2 linked regions of the Diceros bicornis minor genome follow. The protein of the gene in region 1 purifies or fractionates together with the protein of each later gene. This does not show direct contact. Links are inferred from orthologs where the notes say so. Each region holds a gene or a part of one and is shown on either strand. Other genes may lie near its edges.

Region 1 (7,559 bases):
AGTCTGGCTGGAGTAATCAGGAAACGCTTGGAGGCAGGCAGCAAGCACTCAAGCTGGGCCTTGAATCCTAGGTCTAACTTTGATTAGATGGAGCTAGTGGAGGGAACTGGGAAGGAAAGCACTCAGGGAACAGAAAATCAAGGTGGCTGCGTGGAACTAAAGGTCTAGGAGGGGAGTGGTGAGAGTAAAAGCAAGCTAGGGCCAGGTGTTGGCAGCCTTTGAATGCCTGGCTCAGAAGCCTTTAACCCTTAGGCTGCCGGGTCATTTCTCTTCCATCATTTGCACCTTTATATCTAACACCTATTTTCACCAGGAACCCAGGTGCAAAACAAAGTTGGTGGTAGCTGCCTTTAGGATCACAGGGTGTTTCTTCTTCATTTACAATGTGTAGAAGGGGCTTCTGCTGTGAGTGGCTGAATAGAAAGCTGGTCCCTTTAGCACTAACACAGCTTGATTTAGGCTGGAGGATTAGAAAGCACATCTTATTGTGGGGATGCTTCAAAACTCTGTCAGCCTTTACCAACCCTAACCAGGGCTGTGACCTAAGATCAAGAATACCAATTTAATCCTTCTCAAATTTGCTTTCATTATACAACTGACTCCCTTGCTCAAGGATCTACAATGACTCCTATTACCTACAATAGGTCATTCAAATCGCTCCGCCAGGAATCCAAGGTTATACATAATCCAACCCCAACAAGCCTTTTCAACTTCATCTGTCACTACCCCTCTGTTACTTTTCTGCTACTACCAAACTGCTTTTCTAGTCAGGAGGGGCTAAATTACAGCAGGGCTAGTGTTACAGTCTTAGCTGAGCTGAATTAAATTTAAACTAGACAACAGGTTAGGCCATTTTTTTCAGGCATAAAAAATACAAATTTTACAAAAGTATTAGTAAGAACTTGGCAATCCTTATTCACGCATCTTCTCAAATGTGTTATGAATTTGAAAAATCCAAAATTATTGTGTTCATAACGTATAAATGTGAAAGAAGGGTTACAAACGACACATATAGTAATGTTCTTTATCTTGGTAGGGGGTTGGACTGTGCAGGTGTATGTATTTGTCAAAATCCATGAATGTACATTTAAGATTTGTACACTTCATTGGATATAAATTTTACACCAAAATAAACTGTAAAGGAACTCTAGTTAATGATATGCATACCAAAGTATTTAGGGGGAAATGTAGTGATATCTGCAATTTAAATGGTGGATGGATATGCGATAAAGCAAGGTATATTAAAATGTTAATGGTAGAATCTAGGTGGTGGGTGTATGTGTTTCTTATGAAATTCTTTAGACTTTGCTCTATAATTTTCATAATAAAACATTGGGAAAAATGACATTGATAACAGACTGCACTTGTTAATTGTAAGCACTCAACACACTATACTTCATAAAGCTGTAAGAAGTTAAGCTCAGGGCCGGCCCCATGGCTTACTGGTTAAGTGTGCGCGCTCCGCTGCCGGCGGCCCGGGTTCGGATCCCGGGCGCACACCGACGCACCACTCCTCCGGCCATGCTGAGGCCGCGTCCCACATGCAGCAACTAGAAGGATGTGCAGCTATGACAGACAACTATCTACTGGGGCTTTGGGGGAAAAATAAATAAATAAAATCTTTAAAAAAAAAAAAAAGAAGTTAAGCTCAGTGGAATGGCAGCATCAGGCATTTGCTCCTTGATGCTTCCATGCCACCTTGCACATATCTTTTATAGCTCTTTTCATGGTGTAGTGTACTATCTGTTTGCATGGTTGTCTCTCCCATCACACTATAAATTCCTAGCGGGCACAGATCTAGTCTGATTTGTATTTATATTCCTATTGCTTTGCATTGTGTTTGCAGAATAATGTGTGTTCAACAATGGTGGAAAGATTGTATGAAAGTGGAATACTGCTAAGGACCAAAGTATTATATACTTCTAGTAGATTCACTTTATTCATTTCTCAGATATTCTAAAAGTTAATATGTTCAATTTTCAAGAGAAATGTGTCCTTTACTTCTCTCCAAGCATGCAAAAATTCCAAAAATAAAGCCAAAACTCATCTGTACTCAAGAGATTATTTTATATTCTATTACTTAAACACGAGGTCTGAAGCCCTCCTAACATTCAATAACTTTTTAGGTTTTTTCCTAAAAGAGTAAGGTCTCAGAACTCCAAGGAAATCTGTAATTTGCTTTATTCAAATCTAGATAAGCTGTCAGAACTAAGAGATTCCTGAACTGGTCAAAAGCAGGAAACTATAAAGATCTGGGGAAAAAATAAAAACAAATACCACACAAAAATGTCATGAAAAAATTAATCAAGAACTTTACCAAGAAATGTAGGGAAAGGCTTAGGGAGGATGCGCAGAACATCTCAAACTCTCCCCAGACTGGCATCTCTCCTCCTCTCTCCAATTAGAGCCAGTCAGACGCCCGGCCGCCCGGCCACTCCCAACATGCCACGTGACTCGAGCTGATGCCGCTGTAGATGCATCTTCTCACGTCAACCTCCCAGAAACAAGAGCTCTGGCGGTGTGAGCACCTGATTCTGAACTGAAGAACCTGGGTCCGAGTCCCAGCTCCCCCACTTGCCTGATCTGCGAGTCTCTTGCACTCGCTGGGCCTCAGTTTCCTCAAGTGAAATGGTAATTACTTTCCTAACCCGGCCAGCGCAAAGGGTGGCTATGCACGGAGACGAGGGTCGTAAAGGCGCTTTAGGGAAGATGCAAGCGACTCTCAGTTTGTTATGGCTTTTAAGCACGCGCTGCTCACAACCAGCCCCAGACCAATCTCTCAAAGTCACCACTGTCCCTCACTCCCTTCCCGCTCAGGGTCTGTGCTGAGGCCGCTCCCTCCTGCCGGCCCCCACGCGGAAGCCGCGCGGCGCCGTCTGCCGTACCTGCAGCCACTTGGTCAGCGGGGCCCTCCTGCTGACCCATGACGAAGTCGTGTACGAGGCCCCACAGGTTGCCTGTAGGCGCCACCGCCTCCAGAGCGGCGGCGGCGGCCATGATGCGAACCGCGGGAGGGAGAAGTGGGCGGTGGTACGGGACAGGCCTCTCGGCGCACGCGCCTCCCGAGCCAATGGGCTGGCGGAGGCTGAGGGGGCGGGGCGCTCCCTGGATCACGTGCCTGCAGGCTCCCGGCCAGGCAATTCCAGAGAGGCGTGGGACGGTCCCTCCCCGAGGGGCGGGGCCTAGAGTCGGGGCGGAGGCGCGGGGAGGGAAGGCGGCTGCTGGGCACGCAACCGGGGGCCGTTGAGGGCGAATAATTCCGGGCCCGGCTCCCCGGGAGACGGGCGGCGGGGCGGACACCTGGCTGGGTGGGGCCTAGGGGCGGTACGCACCCTAGGGAAGCCAATGAGAAAATCAGGCCCGGCCCGAGGGGGCGGTGCCGTCGGTCACATGCGCACCTGGGGCGGGCGGCGGCGGCGGCGCTGGCACTGCGAGCCAGGGGCAGGGAGCGGGGCCGGGCTGGGGCGGGGTTAGGCAGGTGAGTGACAGGCTCCAGGGGGCCGGCCCCAGCTGGGAGCCCCGAGCGAGCCGGGAGTAGCTGCGGCGGTGCCCGCCCCCTCTCTCCGCCCCTCCGGCGGAGCTGGTCTCCGGCCGGGCACCGTCGCGGGCCCCCCTGGCCCGGCCACCTGGGACTGTGCTGCGGAGTCGGCCACCTCCCTCTCTCCCCTCGCCCGCAAAGTTTGTGGCGAAGCCGGCGCTTGGGCAGAGCGCGACCCCGGGGGGAGATTGGGGAGCGCCTGATGCCCGGCGGCAGGAGCCGTTGACCCGGGACGCCGCCGTCCGGGCCAGGGGTGCGGAGCAGCCGGCCCGCCCGCCGCCTCCGGTGCATGGGGCCCGGCTGAGGAGGCAGCATGGGCAACTGCGTGGGGAGACAGCGCCGGGAGAGGCCGGACGCCCCGGGACACCCCCGCAAGCGAGCAGGTAACGACCGGGAAGGGAGCAGGGCAACGGGCGCCCCGCCAGTTGTCCCCCTCCTTGCCCGAGCCCTGGGCTCCCGGAGTGACCTCCCAAAGCTCCTGGAGCCTGGGTTTCCCCGATGGGTGCTCCTGAGCGAGACTGGGGCCCCCTCCCCAGCCCTGGTAACCGGGGGAGCCGAGTTGGGGCAACTGCGAGCGCTGACCCGCCTGTGAGCCCAACTTGCTCCAACTGGGAAGCTCCGGGTGGGGGTGGGGGCGGGGGCAGGAAATGTTTGCAGACCGCAGCGGGGCCGATGAAGGGGAGGAGGGCTCCGGGCGGGGGCGCCGCTGACCTGGCAGTAGGGCTGGGGTCGGACGTCCACCCGTCGGGACACGGTGCGGGCGGCTAGGCGTCCCCAGAACTCTGAGCGAGCGAGGCGAGAACAGTCGCTCCTTCCAAAGACTGTGTCATTATCCGGCTGCAGATCGTGTCTGCCGGAATCCGACTTGCAAAAGCAGCGCAGGACTCTGGGAAAGAAATCTTTATTTTTCCCGCAGGCTTTTTAGAGCCTCCTGGCCGTCTGGGAGCCTGGGAAAGGTGGGGTGCGGGGTGGGAATCGCCCTCGGGTTCGTTGGGATACTTCCCAGCCTTGGGAATGGGATCTACTCTCTGCTGATCTGCGAGGGCCGAGCAGCGCCTTCTCACTTTCTTGGTACACTCCTATCCTGGCGTTTTGCCCCGGGAAGAGGTCTGGCGGCCGCTTCCCCGTGTCTTGTACTCACTTCCTTCTCTGAGGATGTTGCAAGGACCTTCTGAGAATGATAAAATCGTAGACTTTAGAGCTGTAAGGGACCTTTGAAGCTTGTCTAGAGTCCAGATAGACGTACCTCCTCCTGTCTATGTACAAAGCCCAAATCCAGAGAGGTTGATCAACTTGCCCAAAGCCACACAGCTAGTTGGTAGTACAGCTAGAGGTAGAACGCAGTCTCCTCTTCCACCCAATTGCCACATATCCCTTTGTGTCAGAAGAGCTACAGGCAGGATTGTTAATGAAGTGGAAATTCTAGTTGGAGTTTCCTGTCTCGTTTGACACTGAAGGTGTGTTGCTTGGGTTGTGGAAACCGGGAAGTAGGATGAGGGGAAACGGGGGAAGCAGGGAAGGATGTCTGTGTGGTGGACAGGATGACTTGTGGAAGAGACATGTTTTTATAGGGGGGACAGGGTAAAATTTAACATTGAAACCCTCTTGTCTGAAGGCAACCCTGACCTTTCTTCTGACTGAGGAAAGTTAATTCTCAAACCCAAGGGCTTTCTTCCTTTCATTCATTCATTTATTCAACAAGTATTTATTATTTATGTGCTCAGTCCACATAATTGACTTAGTAGCATTTTTCACTAACAACCCACTCCTACTTGAAATAATCCCTCCTTCCCTTCTTGTCATTAGACTATCTTGGTTTTTTTCTCTGATCACTCCTGCCCACCATCACCTCCTGGGTGTGGGCACACCCGTGATTCAATATGACATTCCATTTTTTTCTCTCATTATACTCCCTCCCAGGGAAATCTTATTCAGTCCCACAACTCTGTCTGTTGGGAAGACCTCTAATCTGTATCTTCAACTATTGCCTCTTGAACCCCACACTCATATCTCTAACTGCCCACTGGATGCCCTAATGTAGATATCCTTAGATTCAGCACTTCTAAAACCAGCTCTGCATCTCTCCCCCTCAACCAGCTTCCCTCTTCTCTTCCATTCTTGCAGCTGCCTAGCTTTGTACTTTGAAGAACTCTCTCTGCTGACTTTCTCTGCCTCCATGTCCTCTGCCTCCCAGCCAGTCAGTCACTGGAACCTGCTGGATCCTCCTTCAGCAGGTCATATGAACCTGCCCGTTCCCACTCTGCTTCATGCCCTTGTCACCTCAAGCTCAATATCTCCCAGGTTGATGTCAGTTCCCCACCAGAGGCAAGTTCATCTTCAGTCATTCATCCAGTGCCTGCACATGGTGGTCCCCCCAGAAGACTTCAGCTTTCAAGGCTGTTCAAGTCTGGTCCAGTCTGTCCTTTTAAGGTATGATTTCTTTCTCTTCCCTGACATTAAGGCCACCAGTGTTTGCTCCTGCCTTTTCGCTCTTCTTACCAAGAGCCTTTCTTCCCTTCAAGGTCCACCTCAAATCCCCATATCTTTCTAGAAGCACCTTGCCTGACAATTCCACCCCCCTCCCCGCCTAGTATAGGTGATTGCACCTTCTGAGAACTACTGCAGATACATTATGCCACTTACTTAACAATTATCTACTCCATATTGTTAGTCGTTTCTTTGATGTTTACAGTCTTTTTTTTTTTTTTTTTGGCGAGGAAGATCAGCCCTGAGCTAACATCCATGCCAATCCTCCTCTTTTTGCTGAGGAAGACTGGCCCTGGGCTAGCATCTGTGCCCATCTTCCTCCACTTTATATGGGACACCACCACAGCATGGCCTGACAAGCGGTGCCTCCATGCGCACCCGGGATCTGAACCCAGGCCACCAGCAGCGGAGCGCGTGGACTTAACCGCTACGCCATGGTGCCGGCCCCTGTTTACAGTCTTTTATCAGCAGCTATATTACAAGCTTGAAGACCTGGGTTCTGTCTTATCCTTGTGTGTGTGTGTGTCTGTCTCACTTACTCATATAGCCGTACACATGCACACACACATGCATGTACACCCATACTCAACACTTAGCACAATGACTTGTACAGAGGAGGCCCTCAATATTTATTGATTTTAGAAAGCTAATCCGACTCCATCCTACCATCCAAATTTTTCATGTAAACATTTTACTAAGGTATATATCTGCATTTTTGTTTTTACCTGCTAGTGTATCATTTTTTCAGTTCTGTGGGTCCTACTATGAATAGCTTTATTCATAAAGTCCAAAGCCAAGGGGAACCCTGTAGAATGACAAGGTTGCTCTAAGGGAAGGAATCTTTCTTAACTTCACAGCGTGCACCTGGCATTCCTGTAACATCTGCAGCTTACCCTTTGACAAGGACGTAGTTTTATGTTGTAACATTAGTGCCTAAAACTCCCCTAGATCCCACTGTAACTCTTACCTTTCCTTTGCCACTAGTGTAATGGGAAGAAACCCTCAACAGAGAACTAGAAGCTGAGTTCTAGTCCTGGGCCTATAGCTGCGTGACCCTGGGCAAGTCATCAAACCTCTCTGGATCACACTTTCAATGTCTCAGAAAGGGAGGGGATTATACAAGATCATTAGGGCTGTTTTTATCATCTTCACAAAGGCAGCTATTCAGAACTGGAAAGTTATTGAGTTGAAATCTTATGCCTTGTTATATCACCCATTGGCCTTAGTTCTGTCTTCCTAGTCACTGGATGGGTGAAGCAGAGGCACAGTGCCCACTTGGTCAGGGAGTCTTGCATTAGCTAGAAGAATTAGGTGGTCCTCTCATCTCATCAGATTTTGTGGTTGTCACTCTTTTTTTATTTTTTTTTACTGTTACTCTTAATGCATCCCCAGTAGGTCTGTGTTCTCCCCTTCAGGTGCTGATTGGTCCTTGCGTGCTTCAGAGAATACTTGGGGGTTTACTTCTTTGGGGCGCTCCCGCCACCGCATACATATACCCTGGGTGGATCAATATCTCTGCCCATGAAGTGGTTGA
Region 2 (7,664 bases), on another chromosome or scaffold:
AGTAGGGCGCAAAGCCGTGGATGTGGCAGCAGATGGAGACGCCCTCGTCGGTGACCCCGAAGGCGCGGAGCACAGGCACGGAGCCGAGAGGTGGCAACGGCGCCCAAGGCAGGGGCTGTGCTGGGCCTGGGGGCGTCACAGGGTAAGGCAGGGGCTGCCCTCTCAGACTCCTCAAAGGTTCGCCTCCCCGGGGCCCTCCCGTGCCGGGAACGCAGCCCCGTTCCTGCAGCTCGGGGCCCTTCCGCGCTGTGCACGCCGCCTGATTTCAGCCCTGGCGTGGAGGCGAGCCCCGCCTGCCCCGGGCTCCGTTTCCACCCTTGTCCCCCTAACGTCCACTTTCCACGGCGCAGCCAGACGGAGACCCCCACCCTTTTCTGCAAATGCAAAGATTTTCTTTTAAAAAGTAAAATCGACTTTGTATAGTGTTACGAGCTTGAACGCACATACACATTCACGTAACCACCACCAAAATCGGGGTACTAGACGCTTCCGCCACTCCGGACAGCTCCCTCGAGCTGCCCCTCTGCAACCACGCCCCCCTCCCACCCCACCCCGGCACTGACGGTCTGTTCCCCGTCTAACTGCGTCTTTTCGAGACCGTCCCTGTGAATGGAGTTGTACAGCCCGTCACCGCTGGGTCTGCCTCGCACTCAGCACGACACCCCTGACATTCATCCTCCTCACGCGTCAACAGCTCCTTCCTCCTTATTGTGGAGAAGCACTGCGCGGTGTGGATGGACCAGAGTTTGCTTATCCGCTCCCCCGGTAGCAGGATATGTGGGTTGTTTCCAGTTTGGGGCGGTTATGAGAAGAGATGCTATTAACATCCGGGTACAGGTTTTTGTTTGAAGCGAGGTTGCTGTTTCTCTGGGGTAAATATCTAGGGGTGGAATTGCTGGGTCCTATGGTAAGAGTAGGTTTAACTCTTCTTTTCTTTTTCTTTCTTTCTTTTTTTTTTTGCTGAGGAAGATTGGCCCTGAACTAACATCTGTGCCAGTCTTCCTCTATTTTGTATGAGGGTCACCACCACAGTATGGCAGTCAATGAGTGGTGTAGGTCTGCGCCTGGGAACCAAACTCAGGCCGCCAAAGCAGAAGGTGCCAAACTTAACCACTAGGCCACAGGGCCAGCCCCAAGAGTAGGTTTAACTCTTTTATCTCAATAAAGCTGGAAAAAACCCACTAGAGTCCCAATGGACAAAAAGAGAGTAGCTTAAACTCGGTAAGAAACGGCCAGGCTGTTTCCCCGAGTGGCCGCGCCCTGCCGCGTACCGCCAGCACCTGGTGGTGCCAGCATATTTCACTTCCGTCCTTCTGAGAGGGGCGTGCTGTGTCTCCCTGCAGCTGTCACGTGCATTTCCCCAGGAGCTAGGGACACAGAGCATCATCCCACATGCTCCTCGGCCATCCTTCTCCTCCAGTGAGTTGTCTGTTCAAGTTTTGTGTCCACTTTTGAACTGGATTGTTCTCTTACTGTGGAGACCTGAGTGTTCTCTATATATGTGCGGCACGGTCCTCTGTCAGGCGTGTGGGTGATGAATGCGTCCTCCCCGCCTGTAGTTTCTTTTCATTCTATCACAGGGAGGCCTCTAATAGGCAAGGGGGAGCGGGCCTCTGCATTGCGAGAGACTCCCCAGTGCGCTCAGAACGGAGCCCTGAAGTCCTCGCGGGCGACAGGCTCTCCTGTGCCCCCTTGCCTTCATCTCTGCCCCTCGCTCCCCCACACTGGTCTCCTCGCTGCTCCTTAAACACACCAGACCTGCTCCTGCCCGGGACCCTCCACCCAGAACCCCTCTTTCCCAGACATCCCCTCTGCTCCTTGTCGCCTCCGCAGAGAGGCCTTCCTGGACCTTCAAGAAGCGTGGTCCAGCACGCCCCGCATCCTACTCCCCGCTTTGTTCTTCTATAACCCTCACGGCTACCTGCTGTCCCATTTCCCTTTTTATTTTGCCCCTCCTTCCAGAACGTGAGCCTCTGAGAGCAGGGACCTGGTCTGCCAGGAACAGGGCCTGGCTCGGTAGAGACGCTCAGCTGTTCCTGACTGACTAGATAAGTGGATGGATGGATGGATGTCACACACGTCTCTCCCCTCTGCAAGGAGTCAGTTCTTTTTACCTCCAGGCCTCAGCTGGAAGATGCTCCCCTCCTCCAGGAAGCCCTTCTGGATACCCGTGCCCCTCTCGACCCCCCACCAGACTCCTCGCTGCCCCCTCTGGGCACCCCCAGGCCTGTCCCTCCCTCTCACAGCCCCGGTCACCAGGGCAGGGACTGCCTGTGTCCATCTCCTCCCACAGAGCCAGCGGGGCTGACGCGGCCAGGCCTCCCCCGCAGGAGCCCAGGGCCCCTCCACCCACCCGCCAGGCTTCTGTCCCCCAAACTCACCTACGTAATGGTCGATCTCCAACTGCTGGAAGATGAGGGGCTCCGTCTGGGGGTCTAGGGGGGGCGGGGAGGGCCGAAGCCAGCGGGGATCTATGGCTGTCTGGGAGAACTGCCCTGCGTGTGGGGAGGGAAGCAGGGCTACATGAGTCGGGGTTCTCCCTCAGGATAAGTAACTGCCCTCCCAGCCCAGCCCGTGACCCCTCAGGTGGCATCCGATTTGTGAAAGGAGAGTCAGGGGAGGTGGTGGTCTGGATCAGGCAGGAATCTCGGGAGAGACTGTAGGATCAAGGTCAGAATAGAAACTGCAGGCAGGAAGTGGTATACTGGCATGGGGTCAAAGGTCAGCCCTATGTGGGGCTCAAAGTGGGCCAGAGGTTACAGGTCAGCTCTGTGGCTGCCTCAGATCAGAGGCAAGATGGGAGGGGGCGCAGGGGGCTCCCGCTCCAGGCCTCACCGTCCGCAGCCCCGTCCACGGCCGACAGTAGCTCCTCCTCCTCCTGTTCCTGCAGCCGGTGCTCTGCCTCCAGCTCCTCCATCAGCGCCAGATCCTCCTCGAACTGGGACGGCCCAGACGCCTCATCCTCATCCCAGAGGCCCCCCCGGGCCCGCTTCGGGGGCACCCCGGGCCCCGGGCCTGACCGCCGCTTGCCATCCATCCTGCCAGGCAATTCGGGGCTGGGTGAGGGTTCCCGCCTTCTCCGTGGCCTCCCGTGCACCCACCATGACTGTGAGCCTTTTGATTCTCTGGAGCGCCTGAAGGGTAACACGGCTCTCCACCCGCAGGCTCACAGGGTGCTGGAACGCTCCAGACGCCCAGTGATCATCAGCTGATGTAACTCCAGCCCACCCCCCAGCTCAGCCTAACCCTCTCCTCACACGCTCAGGCCCTCCACGTCCTTCTGTCCCTGGGTACTTGCCCCTTGCAGACCCCTCGTCACTGGCTCTCCTCGCCCTCTCCCCTCTCTGCCCATCACATCACATCATCGTTCCTTAGCACTTCCCTTTCTTTCCCATAAACCTCTGTCCTCAAGGCCCTCGCCCGCCCATCACCACATCTGCCCGGGCCTTCCCTCGACAAACAGCTGGGCAGCGCCCCCTTCAGGCCAGTCACTGTGTTGGGGGCCAGGGAGTGGCCTGAAAGACGGATCTGATCAGGTCCCTTCCCAGCTCAAAACACTGCACTCAAAAACAAAACAAACACAAGAGCCCTCCCTTTTTATTCTGAAATAATTTCAAACTCATAGAACTCCTGTGTAGCCTTCACCCAGAGTCCCCGAGTGTCAATATGGGGCCACATCTGCTTCCCACTCCCTCTCCCCACCCCCATATACAATATGCACAATTCAGATTACTATCTATTTTCCTATTTAAGGACATTCTCTTAAATAAGCATGGTGCAATGATCAAATCCAGGACATTTAACACTGACTCAATAATAATACAAAATAAAGAGTCCTTTTTCCAATTTCTCCAATAATCCCCAAAATGCCCTTGAGAGCAGCCCCCGCCCTCAATCCACAATCCAAAGTAGGAAACACAACAGCAAACCAAATAGAGACTGCTGTTTAGATGTGTTTACATGTATTCTTTTTCGTTTTTTTTTTTTTTTTTTTTTTTTTTGGTGAGGAAGATCAGCCCTGGGCTAACATCTGCCAATCCCCCTCTTTTTGCTGAGGAAGATTGGCCCTAGGCTGACATCCATGCCCATCTTCCTCCACTTTATATGGGACGCTGCCACAGCATGGCTTGATGAGCGGTGCATAGGTCCACGCCTGGGATCCGAACCCGCAAACCCCGGACTGCCGAAGGGGAGCACGCGCACTTAACCACTACGCCACCAGGCCGGCCCCTATCTGAGGGGTATATTTTGACAGGATATATTGATATACAAGTACATGTCCTCTAGTAGATTAGACAAAAGACTGTATTTAGGTTAAGCCTATTCAAGTTGGTAACTTTCTGCGGCTCAGAAAGAGAATATTCTAAGGAAATGCACACTTAAGTATTTAGGGGTAAATGGCCATGATCTATGCAAGCTGTTCGGAAAAGTTGTTTTACAGTGTGCATATGTACATAGAGAGGAGAAAAAGAAAGCATGTGTGTGTGCAAATCACAAAGTAAATAAGGAAAACTGTGAAAACAGGTGAATCTGGGTGAAGGGTACACAGGTGTTCTTGGTATTATTCTTTCAACCTTCCCATGTTTGAAATTATTAAAAAAGAAAATGAATTGTTAGAAAAGCACACATCTCTCAGTGTCCAGGCTGAGACAGAGGGGATTATGGGAGCCTAGAGCAGACCCCAGACCCAGCTGGTGGGGAGGGGAGGGGAGTGGATAGGTCAGCTGCCCAGGTTCAAGGGAACACCTCTGGATCCCACAACTATGCCCCCAGATCCAGTCTCCCCCCTTCATCCTTTTCAACACCGACCCCTTGCCTTGGGGCTGCCACAGGCTGCCCAGCTCGAGACTACGTTTCACGGTGTGCACTGCTGGGGTGGTCACGTGACCGAGTTCTCTCTCACGGAACGGGAACGACTTCAAGGCGTGCAACATCGGGGACAGCCTTAGAAGGAAGCTTGCCCTCCAGCACCTTCCCCCTTCCCGATGGCTGGAGCATGGATGTGGTGGTGGTGAACCAACCGTGACCACAGGGAAAAGGATAACATTCCAGAGAATGCAGAGCTACAAGATGGAAGGAACCCGGGCCCCTCAACAACCTTTTGGAGGTTTATGTGGAGAAATGAACTACCTACCTTTGGAGGGCTATGTGGAGAAATAAACTTGTATCTTGCCTGAGCCACTGGGCTTTGGGGTCTCTCTGTTACAGTGGCTTAGCTTAGACCTTAAATACAGCACAGAAAAATTCTGAACTGTTGGGGGTGTGTTATTGCAAACGTGTGGAGGTGGGATACAGTGGAATACCTCTCAGCATTAAAAAAAGAGGCAGCTACTGATATACATACACACAGGATGGATGAATCTCCAAAACACACCGAACACAAGCCAGACATGAGTACACCCTGGGGGGATGGGGAGTGACTGCTAACGAGCATGGGGTTTCCTTTTGGGGGCATGAAAATGTTCTAGAGGGGCCTGCCTGGGGGCGTAGCGGTTGGGTTCACGTGGTCTGCTTCGGCGGCCCGGGGTTCAAAGGTTTGGATCCCAGGCGCAGACTTACACACCACTCATCAAGCCATCCTGTGGCGGCGTCCCATATACAAAACAGAGGAAGACAGGCACAGATGTTAGCTTGGGGACAATCTTCCTCAAGCAAAAAGAGGAGGACTGGCAACAGATGTTAGCTCAGGGCCAATCTTCTTCACCAAAAGAAACAAAAAAAAAAAGAAAGAAAATATTCTGGAACTAGATGGAGGTGGGTGACTGCACAACATTGTAAGTATGGTAAACGCCACTGCACAGTACACTTTAAAATGGTTAATTTCGTCTCAATTATAAAAAGAGTATATATTGTAGGATGCCGTTTACACAAAGTTCTAGAATAGACTAAACTAATCTATGATGCTAGAAATCAGGCTAGTGGCTGCTTGCGGGGTGGGAGAGATTGACCGGGAAGGGGCACAAGGGAATTTTCTGGAGTGATGGAAATGTACTGCATATCCAGCTGTCCACCTGAGACCTGTGCATTTCACTATATGTAAATTACACCTCAATTAGAAACATAAAAGTGGGGAGGCTGCAATTCCACACCTAGGGGTTCATGCTACAGATATACTATCACATAATGAAAAAGTACATTTACAAGGTTATTTCCGGCAGCACTGTTTGCAATCACAAAAGACTGGAAACCACCTAAATGTCCTCCCCTGGGGGACTGTTTAAATCAATTACATTAATTCCGTTCCATGGAATACTATGCAGCTGTATAAAGGAATGAGGAAGCTCTCTATGCACTGATATGGAGGGCTCTCAAAGACCCATTGTTAGGTAGAGAAGGCAAGGTGCAGAACGGTGTACTTAGTGCTATCTTTTGTATGAAAAAAAAAAAAAAGATGTCAAGGAAAATGTTTACCCTGATTCTAGTCACTAGGAAACAATCAAACCAAAGTAAAGAGTGGTCTGTAAAAATACCAGTCTGGAATCTTCAAAAATGTCGTATGTCATGAAAGGGGGGAAAAAAACAGCCAGGAAACTGTTTTAGATTAAAGGAAAGACTACAGAGTGCTGACAACTAAATGCAAAGTGTGACCCCAGATTAGATCTTGGATTAAAAAATTGAAAATAGCTAAGAGTACCGGGACAACAGGAATAAAGACTGTCTATGAGATAATAGGGCTGTATCCCGTTAAATGGCCTGATTATGATAATTATACTGTAGCTACGTAGGCGGGCATCCCTGTTCTTAAGAGATACCTGGGGCTGGCCTGGTGGCGTACTGGTTAAGTTTGCGTGCTCTGCTTTGGCGGCCCGGGGTTCGCAGGTTCGGATCCCAGGCGAGGACCTACACACCGCTTGTCAAGCCGTGCTGTGGCGGCGTCCCATATAAAGTAGAGGAAGATGGGCACGGATGTCAGCCCAGGGCCAGTCTTCCTCAGCAAAGAAAAAGAGATACCTGCTGGGGTTTTTTGAGGCAAAGTATCATGATGATCACAACTTGCAAATAGTTCAGCCAAAAAAGAACCCAATGTGTGTATGCGTGTGTATGTTAACAACCGGTGAACCTGGGCAAGGGCACAGATTATCCTTGTCTTGTAACTTCTCTGCAGGTTTGAAACTTTTCAAAATAAAAAGTTGGGGGGAAGTACGTAAAAGAAAAACATTTTCACCAGGTGGGCTGGAGAATATGTATAAATATATTTGCTTTTAATGCATAATTCTGGAAAGATAAGCAATAAACTGGTAACACTGGTTTTGTGGGTGAGGGTGGGGGTGGGGAGACAGTTTTACTGAGATATAATCATCACCCCAACAAGAAACCGCGCACCCTTTAGCTGTCATCCCCTATTCAGCCCATCCTCCTCCAGCCCAAAGCAACTGCTAACCTACTTTGTCTGTCTCAGCAAATAATTTGCCTATGCTGGGCATTTCCTATAAAAGGGATCTTAGAACCTATGTCCTTTAGTGTCAGACTTGCCTGAGGATTATGTTTTCGAGGCCCGCCCACGTTGTAGCGTGGATGGGTCCTTCATTTCCCTTTATGCCCGAATATCTCCCCACTGTCTGGTTCCATCACAGCGTGCTCACCCTCTCATCCGCTGGGGACATGAGGATTATTTGCACCTTCTTGCTATTACGAACGGTGCAATGACTGTGTGTGCACAACGT

What was found.
Region 2: the proteins of MMS19 (region 1) and POLD1 purify together in Homo sapiens (affinity purification with western blotting; 3 studies listed by BioGRID and IntAct, with this or other methods). This does not show direct contact. The link is inferred for Diceros bicornis minor from reciprocal best matches to the Homo sapiens genes MMS19 and POLD1.

What each region holds. Positions count from the first base shown.
Region 1 is NC_080745.1:63,272,590-63,280,148, forward strand, and holds the start of MMS19 (MMS19 nucleotide excision repair protein homolog), read right to left. Parts: upstream 3,013-7,559; 5' UTR 2,998-3,012; coding exon 2,886-2,997; intron 1-2,885. Other genes in the region: UBTD1 (ubiquitin domain-containing protein 1), read left to right, coding at 3,852-3,921. UniProt on the Homo sapiens protein: Key component of the cytosolic iron-sulfur protein assembly (CIA) complex, a multiprotein complex that mediates the incorporation of iron-sulfur cluster into apoproteins specifically involved in DNA metabolism and genomic integrity.
Region 2 is NC_080773.1:25,593,628-25,601,291, reverse strand, and holds the start of POLD1 (DNA polymerase delta catalytic subunit), read right to left. Parts: upstream 3,039-7,664; 5' UTR 3,038-3,038; coding exon 2,836-3,037; intron 2,496-2,835; coding exon 2,382-2,495; intron 127-2,381; coding exon 1-126. UniProt on the Homo sapiens protein: As the catalytic component of the trimeric (Pol-delta3 complex) and tetrameric DNA polymerase delta complexes (Pol-delta4 complex), plays a crucial role in high fidelity genome replication, including in lagging strand synthesis, and repair.